Rhinolophus ferrumequinum: one gene and its partner. The protein of the gene in region 1 purifies or fractionates together with the protein of each later gene. This does not show direct contact. Links are inferred from orthologs where the notes say so. Each region holds a gene or a part of one and is shown on either strand. Other genes may lie near its edges.

The links.
Region 2: the proteins of CPSF1 (region 1) and SYMPK fractionate together in Homo sapiens (co-fractionation; 5 studies listed by BioGRID and IntAct, with this or other methods). This does not show direct contact. The link is inferred for Rhinolophus ferrumequinum from reciprocal best matches to the Homo sapiens genes CPSF1 and SYMPK.

Annotation. Positions count from the first base shown.
Region 1 is NC_046297.1:73,118,962-73,126,358, forward strand, and holds the start of CPSF1 (cleavage and polyadenylation specificity factor subunit 1), read right to left. Parts: upstream 3,340-7,397; 5' UTR 3,290-3,339; exon of another isoform or gene 3,212-3,289; 5' UTR 3,197-3,211; coding exon 3,053-3,196; intron 282-3,052; coding exon 254-281; intron 163-253; coding exon 20-162; intron 1-19. Other genes in the region: SLC39A4 (zinc transporter ZIP4), read right to left, coding at 5,566-5,694, 5,783-5,970, 6,104-6,256, 6,346-6,400, 6,593-6,709, 6,785-6,940, 7,095-7,267. UniProt on the Homo sapiens protein: Component of the cleavage and polyadenylation specificity factor (CPSF) complex that plays a key role in pre-mRNA 3'-end formation, recognizing the AAUAAA signal sequence and interacting with poly(A) polymerase and other factors to bring about cleavage and poly(A) addition.
Region 2 is NC_046298.1:42,118,115-42,126,518, forward strand, and holds the start of SYMPK (symplekin), read right to left. Parts: upstream 3,044-8,404; 5' UTR 2,930-3,043; intron 1-2,929. Other genes in the region: FOXA3 (hepatocyte nuclear factor 3-gamma), read left to right, coding at 3,998-4,066. UniProt on the Homo sapiens protein: Scaffold protein that functions as a component of a multimolecular complex involved in histone mRNA 3'-end processing. Specific component of the tight junction (TJ) plaque, but might not be an exclusively junctional component. May have a house-keeping rule.

The sequences.
Region 1 (7,397 bases):
TGGGACGCCCACCACCCACCTTGGCGTCCTTGAAGCTCAGCAGCAGGGCATCCCGCTTGGCGCCTGCCAGCTGCACGCTGGCCATAGACATGACGTTGCCGAAGAAGGAGAAGGAAGCCACCAGCTCCAGCTTTTCTCGGTGCTCCCGGTGGGCCTTCCCCTCTGGGGGAGAGGCCAGTGGGTATAGGTCTGGTTCCCGCTCCAGCCACCCACGCCCCCAGCGGCATGGCCAGGGTGGCCACCATGTGCTCACCTGTGCTCCTGTCATTCTTGGTTGGAGCCTGGAGGAGGAAGAGGAAAGACAGTGAAGGGCCACACTGCTGCTGTTGGCGGCTCCACCTCATGGAGGGACAATGGGGAAAGACCACCCAGGGCTGGCTCTGCCACCAGCAGCCCTGACTGAACCCTCACTGCCGTGGGGAGCACGTGACCAGGCACTCCTGGAGACAGCCATGCACACCCCAGCCCAATGTGGACAAAGTCACACTCACACGGGGACCCCAACCAGGCCACAGGATTCTCCTGAGGAGCCCACCCTAACACGGGGAGCACTCAGGGTGAGAGGATGGCTGGACAGCTGCTCTGTGCACCCCAAACCTGCCTGGCTCTGTCCCACAGAAGTGAAACATGTGACCACAAAACAAAGGATAAGGGGGTACACAGGGCTAGAGCCTTACAAGGATTCATGTCATTTGGAACAAAAGTACTCATTTGAACCAGACTATCATAAATCAGAGGCCTGCTGTAATTGCTAATGTAACTCATTAGAAAATGACACAAAATGCCTAAAGAGAAACCTACAGAGAAGATAAAATGAAATAAAAATACCTGATTAATCCAAGACAAAGTAGAAAGAAGGAAAAAGGAAGAATAAAGGAATAACAGAAAGACACAGAGTGAGATGGTGATTCAGACCCGACTGCGTAGAAAATCACATCACATGTAGACAAACAATCCAATGAGAAGACAAACGCTACCAAAAAAACAAACAACACCCCACTGTTTGCTACTGAGTCACTTTAAATATAAGGACACAGATTTTAAAGTTATTCCATGCAACAAAAAAAAGCTGGGGTAGCCACGTTACTATTGGACAATGTGGATCTTAAAGGCAAAATATGCTAGAGATAAAAAGAATATTTCATGACAAGAAGGACAGTTCAAAAGTAAAACGTTATTTTAAATTGGTCTTCCATGTAGCTAATTATGCAGCTTTAAAGCATGTGCGCATGTGCACGCTCACACACACACACACACACACATACACAGACAGAAAACACACACACACACACACACACACACACACACCTCTTGATAACCCTGTTGGGCAAGTATACCACCTTGTTCATCTTTAAAACTGTCTTCGATAGTCTTAAATTTTGGCTCTTCCATGTAAATTTGAGAATCAAATGACTAAATCTAGTGAGAAACTTTATTGTAACTTTGAGACAAAGAACACTGAACGTATGGATTAATTTGGGAATGGCCGACATCTCTGCAATAATGAGACTTCCCGTATAACCATGATATACAGAGAGTGCCAAAAAAAATGTATATACGTTTTAAGAAAGAAAAAAACTATTATTAAAATTATAATACTCAATATGTATCGATAACAAAAGATGAATACAAGTCATGTGTACACATTTTTTTGGCACCCCTAGTATTTTCTATTAACTTGGGACTCTTATTAAAAGTTTAAAAAAGTGCTATATATTTTTTCCTCGTAAAGGTCGCAGGGGCCTTTCTCACTGCTAGCTGTCACGCTACACCTGCCCCGGGCCATGTACTTGCCTATCTCCTACACAGCTTCTCCGTTCTCTTCCCAGACCTCACAGAGCAGAGGCCAGGTGTCCCCCACGGTCTGGGCTGTGCCCTGCTCAAACTCCCAACCCACCCACACTTGTGCAAACACAGGAACAGGCTGTTTGAAACCTCAGGGCAGTCTGTTCTGCAGTGATGACTAGACTGGTCCTGAATGCTCTCACCCACACAACGACTGGCCTCCAGCTCTCTCTCCATCTCTTGCTGCCTCACGCTTTACCTTCTCGTGCAAGAGTTGGCAAACTTTCCTGGAAAGGACTAAGGAGCAAATATCTGACAGGGTTTTCACTCAATCTGGTCTGTTGAGGACGCTCCTTTGGAATTTTTTACAACTTGTAAAGATGTAGAAAGCGTCCTTAGATCTCAGTGAGCTTCGGACAGCAAGCCCCACTTCAGGGGCGCAATGCCTTCAGTGCACAAATGTGCTACTGTATTGCTCATCTTAAAACAAAACCTTCTCCAGCCAGTTACTGCTACATTTCTTCCCTGTGCACAAATCTCCTTCCAAGAGCTGTCCGTGTTCACTTGACTAACTCTCCTCTTCCACTCTACACCCCAGACCAACTTTGCATGGCCCTCCCCACCCTCAGCTGCTTCTGGCCTGTGCACAGGCTTTTCCTAATGCCTGGAGCACTCTTCACTCCTCATCCTGAGCCTGGCTAAGTCTTTCTCCCCCTTCATGAACAGATAAGAAGCTGCCTCTTGCAAGAAGCCTTCCTGGACTAACTCTCATGCCTCCAGCAACCTAAGCATCCTCTTTCCTCTACTGATGAGTTCATCACACTTTACTAAAACTGCTGCCAGTGTTCCCTCTGGCAGGAATGTTCTTCCCCTGACAAACTCCTACTCGGCCTCCAGGAGGCTCTCCTGGTCAGCCAGCTGGGGACACACTGCCTCCTTCATTACCTCCTCTGTGTACTTAGGGAAGGCCCCCTGCCCCAACTTTCTGCAGGTTTTGTTCTCCAGCGTATTCCTACTACCTAACACATAGCAGGTGTTCATATCATTTAACCGCTGAAAAACAAAGAGCAAATAAGATGCACGAGGGCAGGGCTCCATGCCCACAGGAGCGCACTGGAGGCGGAAACATGTAGCAGCGGCGAGAACAGGTTCTGGAGACAAGCACTGGTCGTGTCCGGTCGCGCTTCTCCGTCTGCCACTGGGCGCCCACCTCACCGAGCTGTCAGGAGGCGGGCGGGGCCCGGAGGCCGGCGCGGCCCGGACCTACCTCGGCGTCGCGGTTCAGGCGGTACACGTAGAGCTGCGAGGTCCCGGCCGCCACGAGGTTGCGCTCGCTGTTGTTGAAGAAGTTGCAGTACATGGAGAACTCCAGGCCGGTGGGCGGGTGCGCCTGCTTGTACACGGCGTACATGGCGCCGAGCCCGGGCTGCACGGGGCCGGAAGGCGACAGGATGAGTGGGGCCTCCCACGCCCGAATCCCCTCAGCCCGCCGCCCGCCGCCCACCTGGCAGTTGGAACCTGCTCGCGGGGGACCGGGACGTCGATGAACACGCTCCGGCCGGGCCCGGAAGCTGAGCACGGAGGTTCCGGTTCCTGCGCCTGCGCAGTGCCGCCATGGCGAAGCAGCTGCGGGGGGCGATAGCTGCCCTCGGCGGCTGCGGGTAGCCGAGCGGTTTCGCGTCTCCGCGTGCAGAGCCCCGAGATCCTGGGCCCCACAGCTTGGGGAACGAGGGGCTAGGCTGGAAGTACGGCGGGCGTCCGGCGGCTCAGAGACCTCTGGGTCCTCTGCCTGACCCCGGATGGGGTCCACGTGGAGAATCTCCCCGTAAGAAGAGACGAGTCTCCTCCACCAAGCCCCCTTGTAAGAGGCGCTGTGCCAGGAGCTGAGGTTCGGGTGACCCAGGAGAGCCTGAGCCTCCAAGTGTGGGGCTGGGAGGGAAGGACGCCGGGCAAGTGCCGCCAGTGTGGAGGAGGCTGGACCAGTCCCGGGCTGTGAAAGCTTCAGGGACAGATGCTGCCTCCTGTCACTGCTCAGCGTTCTCTCCGCAGAGCGACACCACCCCTACCACCACCAAAATACAGGCACTGCAGGCGCACAACCCTCCTCGCTTCAGTGGCCAGGTGTCTTCCAGTCCTCCCCTCTACCACGTGAGCCCCTCCCCCCAGGGCAGCGATTTTTATCTAGATCTTGCGCCCTCCTCGGGCCTGGCACAGTTGCCCACCTCAAGGTTCCCGGAGCCAGGACCTCACCTCCCTTGGCAGAGACGAGCCCAACACACTGAGACAGGCCTGGGCCTTAGAAAAGGAATCATAAGAAAACGAGGACTGGCCTGGTGCCTCAAGTGGTTAGAGCACTGCGCTCCTAAGACCTAAGGCCGAGGTCGCGGGTTCAATTCCCACATGCGCCAGTTGAGTTGCATCCTCTACAGCTACGATTGTGAACAGCTCTCTGTGGAGCTGGGCTGCTGGAGGTTGAGCAACCGGAGGTTGCGGTGAGCTGCTGTGTGCTGCCATGAGCGGCCGGTGGCCATCGTGAGTGGCCGACAGCCATCTTCGGTTGCCATGGGCTGCTGTGTGCTGCTGTGGGCTACTGTGTGCTACCAGGAGTGGCTGGAAGCCATTGTGAGCAGCTGGCAGCCGGTGCGAGAGCTGCCGGTGCGAGAGCTGCCGTGAGCTTCTGTGAGCAGCCGACCAACGACTGGCGACCAACTGCCTCAGCCAGGGGGAGCTCAAGGCTCGTAATACCAGCATGGGCCAGGGAGCTGTGTCCTATACAACTAGACTGAGAAACAACGGCTAGAACCCGAGTGAACCGGAGTGAGGAGAGGGGAGGTGGAAGAAGAGTGAAAAAAAAAATGAGAAAGTATGGTCACACCCAAGAAAATAGCATATAAATGTGTTTCACCCAAATTGGCCCACTTGCTCACATCAGCAATAAGGCTCCGCGTCTGAACTGTGGAGCAACACACGAAGGCACCACTGGGATGCCCAGGCAGGTGTGGGATCCCTGCGCCACATCAACCCCCTTCAAAAGTCCTAAGAAGTCCCTGTTGCCAGAACCATGAGTATGTGCTAGAGAAGGCAGCCAGGCAAACACTAAATAACATCAGCATCTATGTCAGATGGACACTCACGGTGCCCACATCACAGGGCATCGGTGACAACTGAACAAGTCAGTGCCCACAGCACCATGAGACTAGCCTGGCAAATGGCGAGTGCCCTAACAAATGAATGAGAACTCGTCTGGTAGAGTGGTGGTCAGTGCAGAGAGAGCCAGAGACCCTGCAGCACAGTCTTGGGGAGGGCAGCCGAGGGTAGGGTGCAGCTGGTGGGCAAAGGGGGCTGGGAGGTGGCAGGGCTGGTGGTGGGATGGCAGAGGTTGGCTCGCCTGGCGGATCCTCTTCCCCACTGAGGTGAAAGGAGGCTGTTAGTGGAATCGCCTGGGTGGGAGGGTGAGGGGCTGGAGGATAGGCCAGACGGGGGTTGGCTGCCTGGAAGCCCAAGCACCGCAGCTCTGTTGGCTCCTTGTCAGGGCTCCAGGCACTGCCTCACTCCTCCTCCTCTTTGGTGGGAGACCCTTCCCTCCCAGTAGGAACAGCAGGCTGGGCTCCAAGGGTAGGAATGTCTTTATTGAAGTTGCGTTGCTGGGGTATGGGGGGCGGGGAGACTCTCAGAGGCCTGGGGGCTCTCCAGGTACTCAGCTGTAGGTTCAGGTCCAAAGGGCTGAGACAGCGCAGGGCCAGGAGGGAGTCAGGTCCCGAGAGTGGGGCGGAGGTGCCGTCAGAGGGTGATGTTGTCCTCATACAGCGACAGCAGCAGCAGGACGACCCAGCCGCCCAGTAGGCCCACGTTTTGCACCAGGAAAAGGAGCCAGGGCCGGGGGTCTCGCACCTTGAGCATGGCGGGGAGCTGAGGAGGTGAGCTGTGTCAGTGGCGAGCTCAGCGTCCTTGCTCAGCTTCCCACCCCGGCAGCCCCCTCCGCGCCCTCCAGCCTGACCATGTCACAGAGCGCCACGTAGAGGAAGAGGCCGATGGCGACCGCCAGGATCCAGGACTCGCTCTCCTCGCCGACGCCGAGCGCGAGCGCTACGTAGAGGCCCGCAAAGGCCGTGAGCGCCGACACCAAGTTCAGCAGCAGCGCCCGGGGCACCGACAGTCCGGCGTGCAGCAAGGCGGCGAAGTCCCCTGAGGCGGGAGGAACGGTGTCAGGCCGAGAGCCCCGCCCCCACAGCCCCCGCCCCTTGCCCAGGCCCCGCCCCGCTCTGCTCGCCACATCCCCGGCGGGTCCCGCCCAGTAGGCCAGCCCCGCGCAGCTCACCCAGCTCGTGGGGCACCTCGTGGCAGAACACGGCCAGCGAGGTGGCTAGCCCCGTCTTCCAGGAGGACGCGAAGGCGGCGCCCACCGCCAGCCCGTCGGCAAAGTTGTGCAGGCCGTCGCCCAGCGTGATCATGTAGGGCAGCAGCCTCAGCTCTGCGGGCGCAGCGGGCATGGGTCGGCCTCAGTACGGCCGCTGCCGAACCCCTGGCCCCCAACCTTTCCGGGGCTCCCCCAGGGCTCACCAGGGCTCTGTCTCCGGGGCTCCGGGCTCAGCAGCTCAGGGCTCTCCTCCGCCACCTGCAGGGGTTTCCGGTGGATGAACCCCCGGGGCGGGGGAGGGGGGGAGGAGGGAGGTGCTGGGGTCCCAGATCAGCCTCAGAGGCCAGCAGGACGGAAGCGCTGGGGTGGGGGCTGGAAGTGTAGGCTCTGGAAAGGGTCCATGTGGAGGGGGCTCCGTGTGGGACGGGAGGTCCCAGCGGGGCAGCTCACCAGGTCTGCGCGGGAGCCTTCGTGGGGCTGCTTGGGCGGCCGGAGTTCCCTGGGTGCTAACTGTAGGGACACGCCATGGCTGTGGCCACCGTGGCCGCGAGGCTCGTCCTTTGGGTCCTGCGGGACAGCGGCTCAGGGCCCTCCATGCCTCCTCCGCGTCCACCCACCCTGTCCAGCCCTCATGTGCCTGACCTCTGGGTCCAGGGGCAGCAAGAGATCGACAAGTTTCTCGAACAGGAAGAAGGCATACAGGCCGCCGAGCACGACCACCAGGCGCCAGACGTGCTGAGGGCTGTGGCAGTTCATTCCATGCTCGCTGTGTCCCCCGTGCTGGTGCAGCCCTAGAACCTTGGAGGGGCAGGGGGCGCTGGGCTGGGTGCCCCAGGTTCTCCCCGCCACAGATGAAAGGGAGGGGTCAGGGCTGGCGGAAGGGCCACAGGAGGGCGGGGCAATGGAGCGCCTTGGGGGGTGGGGCAGGGAAGACCTAGGGGCTGGGGCCCACCTTGGGCATCAAGTGCAGGAGGGCGTCTCCGGTGAGCGCGCCCATGGCCATGCCCAGGAAGGCCTGGATGATGTAACGGGCAGCAGTGCTGCAGGCAGTGCAGATGAGAAGTAGCAGGCCGCAAACCGAGCAGAGGCAGATGAGCAGCGTGGCCAGCGAGCTGTACAGGTACTCTGCGTGGTGGGGCAACAAGGGCTCAGGTGAAGGCCTCCCTCTCAGCCTTCCCAGGGAGGGCATCTACTGGGTCCAGGAATGAGCCAGAACTCACCAGGTGTGGGCCAGGCCTCTGCTCACGCTACCCCT
Region 2 (8,404 bases), on another chromosome or scaffold:
TGTACTCTGGACTGGACACCAGAGCAAGCTTTCTAAAACACACCAGTCACAGAGTCCTGCTCACAGTAAGTACTCAATACATCAGAAAAGGCTCAGTTGAATAAATTATGTTTCAGCCATTTTCTGAAATGCTATGGAGTTGTTTTCAAAAAGGGGTGGGGTGGGGAGGGAAAACTTTTGGGCTCTGTCCCAAAGTCACAGTGGCACAACTATGAAATAAGAAGGATCTCAATCACAGGACTAAGGAGCAAAAGACTATTAGCACCCAAAGGGTTCTCAAAGAGGAAGACTGGCTGAAAAAGTATGATAGAGCTACACCATAAAACACTATGCAGCTGCGAAAAGGAATGAGGGAGGGAAAAAGGAGGAATGAGGAAAATCTCTATACACTTATGATCGGTGGGCTCCAGCATATATTCAGTGAAAACAAACAAAGTAGAAGACAATGTTTACTGTATGCTCCCTTTTTACAAAAGAAAGGGAAATGTGTATATGTTTAAAAAAAGGAAGAAGAAAAGAAACTGAAAGGATAAACCAAAAAGCAGAAGAGGAAGGAAACGGCAAAAAAAGAAATGAGTGGCTCTCAGTGCAATATCATCGTAAAAATATGTCCCCCACAGCCTGCTATAATAATACATCACAGAACATGTGCAATTCAATCCATTTTTGTTAAGTTTGCGTATGTCTACACAGAGCGACCTGAGTCAGTTTTGTCTTCTGTGAGACAGAGGTGGTCACAGTGCTTGCCTCGCAGGAAGGACTACCTTGAGTTAGGACACACAGTAAACATGAGATAAGTACAGCTGCATTTTTATAGACATGAGAAAAGATCGGAATGATACTACATAAACTGTTAACAAAAATTTGAGGGTGTCTGCAGGACGAATGACTATCCAGCATCCTCTTTCCTAGTATCCCTGCTGCCTGTCACCCCCACATCTTGCTTGGCGTCAAAGCCAATGTCCTCACCAATGCCTAGAAGACCTTACATGATTTGGTCCCTTCTATCTCTGCCCACAGCTCCTCTCTGCTCTCTCTGCTCCAGCTACTCTGGCCTCCTTGTCCCCTGAATATGCCAAGCGTGCCCCTTCCTCAAAACCTTTGGGGTTCTCTTCCTTCTGCCTGGAATACTCCTCTTCCCAGATATTGGCACAACTCTCTCCCTCCACATTTCCTTCAGGTCTCAGCTCACCTACCTTGGCAGTGAGGTCTTCTTTGACCACCCTATTTCAAATCTCAATTTCCTTTCTCTCCCCATCTGTGTTGTTTCATTTTTCTCCATGGCATTTATTATCATCTATACACTACCTACTGTGTTTCCCCGAAAATAAGACCAGGTCTTCTATTAATAGACCCCACATCTGTTCATGCAACTCATGGCCACCCAACAACCAGCACACTGCTGTCCCCCATCAGAACATAATGAAGCTTTTCATGTGAACCTTTTTTTCATGATGGTAATACGTGTGGGTATCGAACCAGCAAACTTGTTGTTAAGAGCACTGCGCTCTAACCAACCGAGCTAACTGACTGCCCCCTCTACTTTTATTTTCTTTGTAAGGTATATACATGTTTCCCTTTCTTTTATAAAAAGAGCATATATTAAACACCATCTTCCTTTTCATCTGTTTTCACTTAATGTATGCTGGAGCCCATTCTCCATATCAGTGTAAAGAGATTTTCCTTGTTCCTTTTTACAGTTGCATAGTATTTTGTCATGTGGATGTTATCAGTTTTTTTCTGCCAGTCTTTCTACTAAAGAATGTTTGGGGTCCGGCCCAGTGGCTCAGGTGGTTGGAGCACCCGTGCTCCTAACGCCGAGGTCGCCGGTTCGATTCCCACATGGGCCAGTGAGCTGCGCCCTTTACAGCTAAGACTGTGAGCACCGGCTCTCCCTGGAGCTGGGCTACCATGTGCTGCCATGAGCAGCCAGTGGCCGGGGACCATCGTGAGTGGCCAGCAGCTGGCGAGAGCTGCCATGAGCAGGCGACCGACGACTGGAGACCAACTGCCTCAGCTGGGGGGAGCGCAAGACTCATAACACCAGCATGGGCCAGGGAGCTGTGTCCTACACAACTAGACTGAGAAACAACGGCTTGAAACCGGGTGGGGGTGGAAGAAGGGGGAAAATATGTGGGGTGCTTGCAATCTTTTGCTATTACCAACAGTCATTGTTTCCCCTTCCTTTCGGTGTCCTCCTTATGGAGTACCACTGCCTCCCTCCCACCTGGGAGCGTGAGGACTCCCCTCATCTACACAGTGGCCCCAGGAGTATCTTTCATTCATTCACCAAATATTAACTGGGTGTCTTCAGTGTGACGGCGTTGTGCTGGGAGCACAGCAGTGACAACATACACCCAGTCCCTGCCTCCGTGGAGCTCACAGTGACAGACATAATCAAATAGTCAAACAAACAAAGGTACAATAACAAATCAGAGGGCACATGACATGAAGGGAAGGTACAGGGACCTCTGAGAGCGTTTAACAGGAGGATTTCGGGATGGAGGGCAGGAAAGGAGGGCTTCGCAGAGGAAGTGACGTTGGTGCAGAGACCCGAAAGATGAATGGGAGTTAGCCTGGCAGAATGGGTAAAAGGATGTTGCGGGCAGAGGGGACAGTATGTGCAAAAATCCTGAGGCCTGAAGGCGCATGGCGAGTTTGAGGAACCGAAAGACCAATGCAACTATTCGAAGTGAGGAATGAGCAGAGGCAGAGCCAAGGCCGCGGGACGGACGCGCCTTGGGGGCCACGTTGGAACTTTGCCCTAAGGGCACTAGGGACCCACGGGAGAGTCCTGAGCAAGGGAAGAAACTGGAGTACCAAACGTCACTGCTCCCTTCTCCTCTGCCCCCATCCCTCTGCCAGCGCTCCTGCCGCTTCAGGGTCCTTCCTCCCTTGGTCCCCGGGCCCCCACGCCACCCCAGCTCACCGCGGCTCCGGCTTCCGTCCCCCTCGCGCCCCCTCAGCAGCGCCTCTTCCCAGACGCCGCCGCCGCCGCCATCTTCCGCTCGCCGCCGTGACACTGCGCACGCGCCGCACACACGGGGTCGCCGGGAAATGGAGTCCACGCAGTAGGCAGACCCCACCCCTATTTCTAGCCCAGCGAGCGGCCTTCCGGAATACTCCCGGTGGCTCTTCATTTCTGGCGTTCGAACGCCGTGCCTTCTGGGAAATATAGTCCCTTGGCAGAGGCTCGGGACAGGAAGGGAGACAGAGACTTCTGGGAAACGGAGTTCACGGTGGTTGAGTTCCTGGACGGCTGGTATTAGCGAGAATGGAGAGTACGGGCGGCGAAGCTCCTAGGTCTTGGAGGTGGTCTGTTGCCCTAGTGGAGTCTGAACAGAAGCCCCAATTTCCTCCACCTTTGGTCCTGACCTTTTGGACAGTTCGGAGCATTTCTATTAATAGCTGTCGGAAGCTTCAGTATTCCAGTCCACCTAATGGGACTGTGGTTTCGAGGCTCTCCTACCGGTCCTTATAGAGGCAGACTGGATCCAAGGAGTTCACTGCGCTCTGAGGCCCCTTTCTTCCGCGGCGGTCGTGCTGGGTTCTAGCTATTCGCCCTCTACTGTCAAGATGATGTCTGGGGCCCCTGGGGTGGAGGGCCCCAGAGTTCTGATGTCGGGGACCTTAGTATCAGCAGTGTCTCCCAGCAGTAGCTCCCTCACTCTTCAGCCATCTCCAGCCCTTACGTCCCCGGGCTGCGGCTCCCGGCGCCTGAGGTCTATCTCCTCGCAATCCCGCAGGGGGCGCCCCAGTCCGAGCGCACCGCCCAGGGAGAGGCGGGAGGGGAGCCCGGGGCGGGCGAGGGCGGGGGGGGGGTGTCCCGACTATAAAGCGTGGACGCCTCCCGCGGCGCCTGGGACGGCTGGGACCCTGGGCAGTCAGTCGGACGGGCGGGCGCCGGTTGGAACTCGGGCCGTGCCGGCTGAGAGATCCTTAGCGCTCGGTTCCCCCCGGGCCGGAGCAGGGGCAGGTGGGGGCGCAGGCCCGGGGGATGCTGGGCTCCGTGAAGATGGAGGCCCATGACCTGGCGGAGTGGAGCTACTACCCGGAGGCCGGCGAGGTGTGTCCTCGGGGATGGCGGAGCGGGAAGTGTGGGGTAGGAATCAGGGTGCGGACTTAAATGAGGGCAAGGATTGGGGTATGGGCTCGAATGGGGGCTCCAACTAGAGTTGAGGAGTAAAGGAACTAGAGACACGGAGACCAGGTGTGGGATTCAGGGACGGGGCCAGGCATGGGAGTGCGGTTACCCCAGGCTAGTCGGAGTGAGCGATAAATGGGAGTCAGGAAAACTTAAGTAAGGATCAGGTCATAGCTTAAACGTGAGAGCTGGGTGTTGGTGACCCCAAATCCAAGGGATTAAAATGAACAAACCAAAGCTAGGAATCAGACCTCCCAGAATAGGAGACAGAGCTGGGGGATTAGGAAATGGCTTCAAATTTGGGGGGAAAGACAGGAACTAAGAGATGGCAGAGGGAGGTCACCATTAAGGGAAATCTGAGGTGAGAGCTCAGGGTTAGGACATTGGGGTTCAGGGATAAGGATCAGGGTGCGATCTAAGATGAGGTCAGAAATAAGGGTTAGTGCTCAAGGATAAGAGATGGAGGTTAGTTTTGGTAGTCTGGAATAACAGGTGGTTTAGAGTTGGGGTTCAGATAGATGGGGGCCCAGATGAGATCGGAGTTGGAAGCGGGAGAGCAGCGGAGGGGTCGATTTCCATTCCCCACCCCCACCCCTACTCCTGACCCTCACCCCTTCCAACTGAACTTCACTGCTTTAATTGTTAGAGACCCTCAGCAGGGATTCTCCTGTTGGAGGCTAGAAGGTTTCAGATTTCACACCTCCCTACCCTCCTTCCAGTAATCTCCAGTAATTGCTAATGTCCTCACTAGCCCCATCTCTGACTAGACCACCCTGGAGTAGGGGGCAGGGTATATCTTACTTCCCTCACCCCAGCAGGCAGAAAGTCCTTCCCCTGGTCTAACTCCCATTCCTCTTGCTGCAAGGACTCCCCCTTAGCTCACTGTCTCTATACTCAACAGTGTGAAGTGGAGGGGGGATCTGGACACTTAAATTCCTAACCTGGAAGGGGACTGTGGACTTGAGGCAGGGGAACTTGAATGTCTGAGTTTTACAAGGAGGCTGAGATCTGAGGGTTACAGGGGCTCCCAGGTGCCTGAGTCCTGGGTCTGGGGTTTGATGCTGTTATGTGGGTCTCTCGGATCCCCGGGCCTGCGGGGCTTGGCATGGTGCCTGGGAGGGGCCAGTCCTGGGGCTGTGAAGGTGTGAGCTGCACGTGGGGTGGGGCAGGCCGACCAGGGAGGGGGGGATTGGAAGTGTTGAGAGGTGGAGATCGGCAGCTGGAGGTGTCAGAAGGCAGAGACCAGGTTGGAGGTGAAGGCTCCCAGGTATTGGGGCATCCCAGCTGAACCTCCAGACAGTTCAGAGTCTGGGAATATGATTTAAGGGAACCAACTACAAATCAGTGTTTTGGGGGACACACCTTATCAGTAAATGTGGAGATCTAGGATGGAGGAATCCTTATGTGGGGCACACTCTGAAGTTTAGGGGACACATTGTGTCAGAAATTGAGAGACAGTCTAGAGATGATCAGCATTTTGGGGCATATTTTGGAAGAGTTGACATGGGGGGCCGGAGATGGAAATACTGTCTGAGGGTCTCCCCAGCCTTTCCATCATCTGAGCCACCTCCTTCCCTTGGGTCAGAACAAGGTACAGAGAAACATTCACACTTACTCAGCTACTGAGAACTGTGAGGTCCCCCAAAGTGCTTCTGGCCTTCCACGCCTTCCTGCTGGGGTGATATTAACACCCCCAGGCTGGCTCCCCGTGTGGAAGGAAATTGAAAGGTATCACCCTGGGGTGGCCCTGTTGGCCCCCAGTTCCCACAGATCAGCTGGTCCAACTGCTCCCCCACTTCAGAGAGGGAAACCCTGAAGCCGCCTGGAGTGTTGGGGGCTTCTTTAGGTCCTGGGTAGAGACTGGGGCTAGAAGCTAGGCTTCTGGCTTCACATTGCCTCCCTGTGATCCGTCGTCACACCCTCCTCCAGAGACAATAAGGAAATGAAAGGCGAGAAATTTCAGCCTCCTGGGGTGGGGGTGCAGGTCCCCTGAGGGCTTTCCCCCCAATCTCAGCCCCGCCCTGGCAGGGAAATCCGGCTCAGACCCGGACACTGGGGGTTCATCCCAGCCTCGGGGCGTGGGAAAGCCTAGGGTGGATTAGGGCAGCTGGAGTTCTAGAGATCAGACCTCAAGGAGGACTTCCGGGTGGGTGGGTAGGTAGCCAGAAAAGGAGGGCCCTGGGGTCCCAGTCTGTCTTCCTCTGTGATACAAGAGAGTCCGACTGAGTTGGAAAAATGGGAGGGGGGTTGCAGAGGAATTTAGGAATTCTCTGTAGATCCCCCTAAATCCATCACCTTTTCCCTTCATCTCTTCCCTTAATCTGGGGAGGGGGCAGAAGCAGCCAACCATGGGGGAGACCAGTGCATAGGGGAGGGGAGTAGCTGGGAATCCAATTTCAACGTGAGATTTCTGAGGAGCGTGATACTGAGGCAAGGAAGCAGATGGATACAAAGGTGTGCTGAGGGAGAAAGAGAAATGGGGAGATGGGAGGGGAGTGGGGTAGAGAGAGACAGAGGGTGAGAGAAAGGAAAAAAATGTGGGGAGGAGAGACAGTGGGAAAGGGAAAGACAGGGCAGGAGGAGATAAACATGGGGAGGGGGAGGGAAGGGGTATAGAGGTACGGTGACAAGGAAGGCGATGGACAGACACACACAGAACCACCAGGGAGATTCAGAGACCTGAGAGAAAATTGCTACGTGGACAGACCTATGAAAGAGGGAGGGGAGAGTTTCTCCACTAGAACTCAGAGCTGGGTTGGTTGCCACCTGTCCCTGACTCAGAGTGTCCATTTTCTCTCTGGACCTTGGGACCTGCAGATGCTCACAGACAGGGGATGAGAAAGGACCCACTGCCTCGTAAGAAAGTTGGCTCCAGCCAGAGCTGGAGCAGCACCCGCAGTGCCAGCAGACCCCAGCAGGGACAGGGAGCAGGTGAAGTATTGAAGGAGAGAGGACGGAAGACAGTGGATGAAAGGAGTAAATACACACAGAAAGAGAAATCACTATCCACCGTGCTTCGTATTTTCCTTATCTTGTTCACTTCCTGCTGAACTGTCAGCTCCATGAGGGCAGGCATTTCAGTCTGTTTTGGTCACTGCTGTTTTATAGCATGATCCAGAACACTGGTCTGGAACCAGACTGCCTGAATTCAGAAACCGAGTTCTGCCCTTTTCTTGCTGTGTGACCCTGACAACCTCTCTGGGCCTTAGCTTGCTCAGTTCTAAAACAGGCATCATAATAGGGCCTCCCACATGGTGTGGTTGTAAAGATGAAAGGGTACCTACCTTTCCCTGTGTAGTGCTGGGAGCAGCGCCTGGCACTGAGTAGGTGGCCAATAAATATTTGTTGAATGGATGGAAGACTATATAGAAGTTATTTAGAGAGACGGCAATGTCTATCGTATTTCATTCATGCATATTTTTTCACCATTTGAACATTTCCAAAAGTGGAATGGGTTTTATAGCCAATGGTATCTAGAGATTATAATTGACACTACGTTTTTCCATTCTTACTGATTTTTTTTCTCTTTTTTTTCTCTTTTATTATTTTTTTTCTCTTACTGATTCTTAATACTGCAGCTTACAAACAGTGATATCTTACATTTGATAATAGATAGTAAATAGATGATATGAGGTTGAAATGTGATTTCTGATAGTCAAACATTTTTGACCTATTAAAAACTGTAATTTTATAACCTAAAAGATGGAGAGAGAGTACACATGTAGATTAGATATAAATCAGCAGTTATCAGTTTTTTGGGTTTCAGGACCTTTTTACACTGTTAAAAATTATTGAGGACCCCAAGAAGTTTTCACTGATGTGGGTTATGTCTCTCAATAGTTACCACGTGAGAAGTAAAAGCTGAGAAAATTTTTTAAATGTATTAATTAGTTTTTAAATAGCAATAACTTGTTAGGATACATAATGTGTTTTTATTAAAATAACTATATTTCAAAACATTTAGTCAGAGGAGTGGCAGTGTTACATTTTTGCAGATCCCTTTTTGGATCTGGTTCCATAAAAGACAACTGGGTTTTCATAGCTGCTTCTACATTCAGTCTGTTGCAGTGTCACATGTCATGTGGCCTCTAGAAAACTCCACTGTACACTCATGAGAGAAAGAGTGAAAAAGGCTAGTAATATCTTCGCATTATATGAAAATAGTTTTGACCTCATGAACATACTGAGAAGGTCTTGGAGACACCCCAGGGTGTCCTGGACTGCACTTTGAGAACCACTTACAGCCCAAGCTCCAGTGTA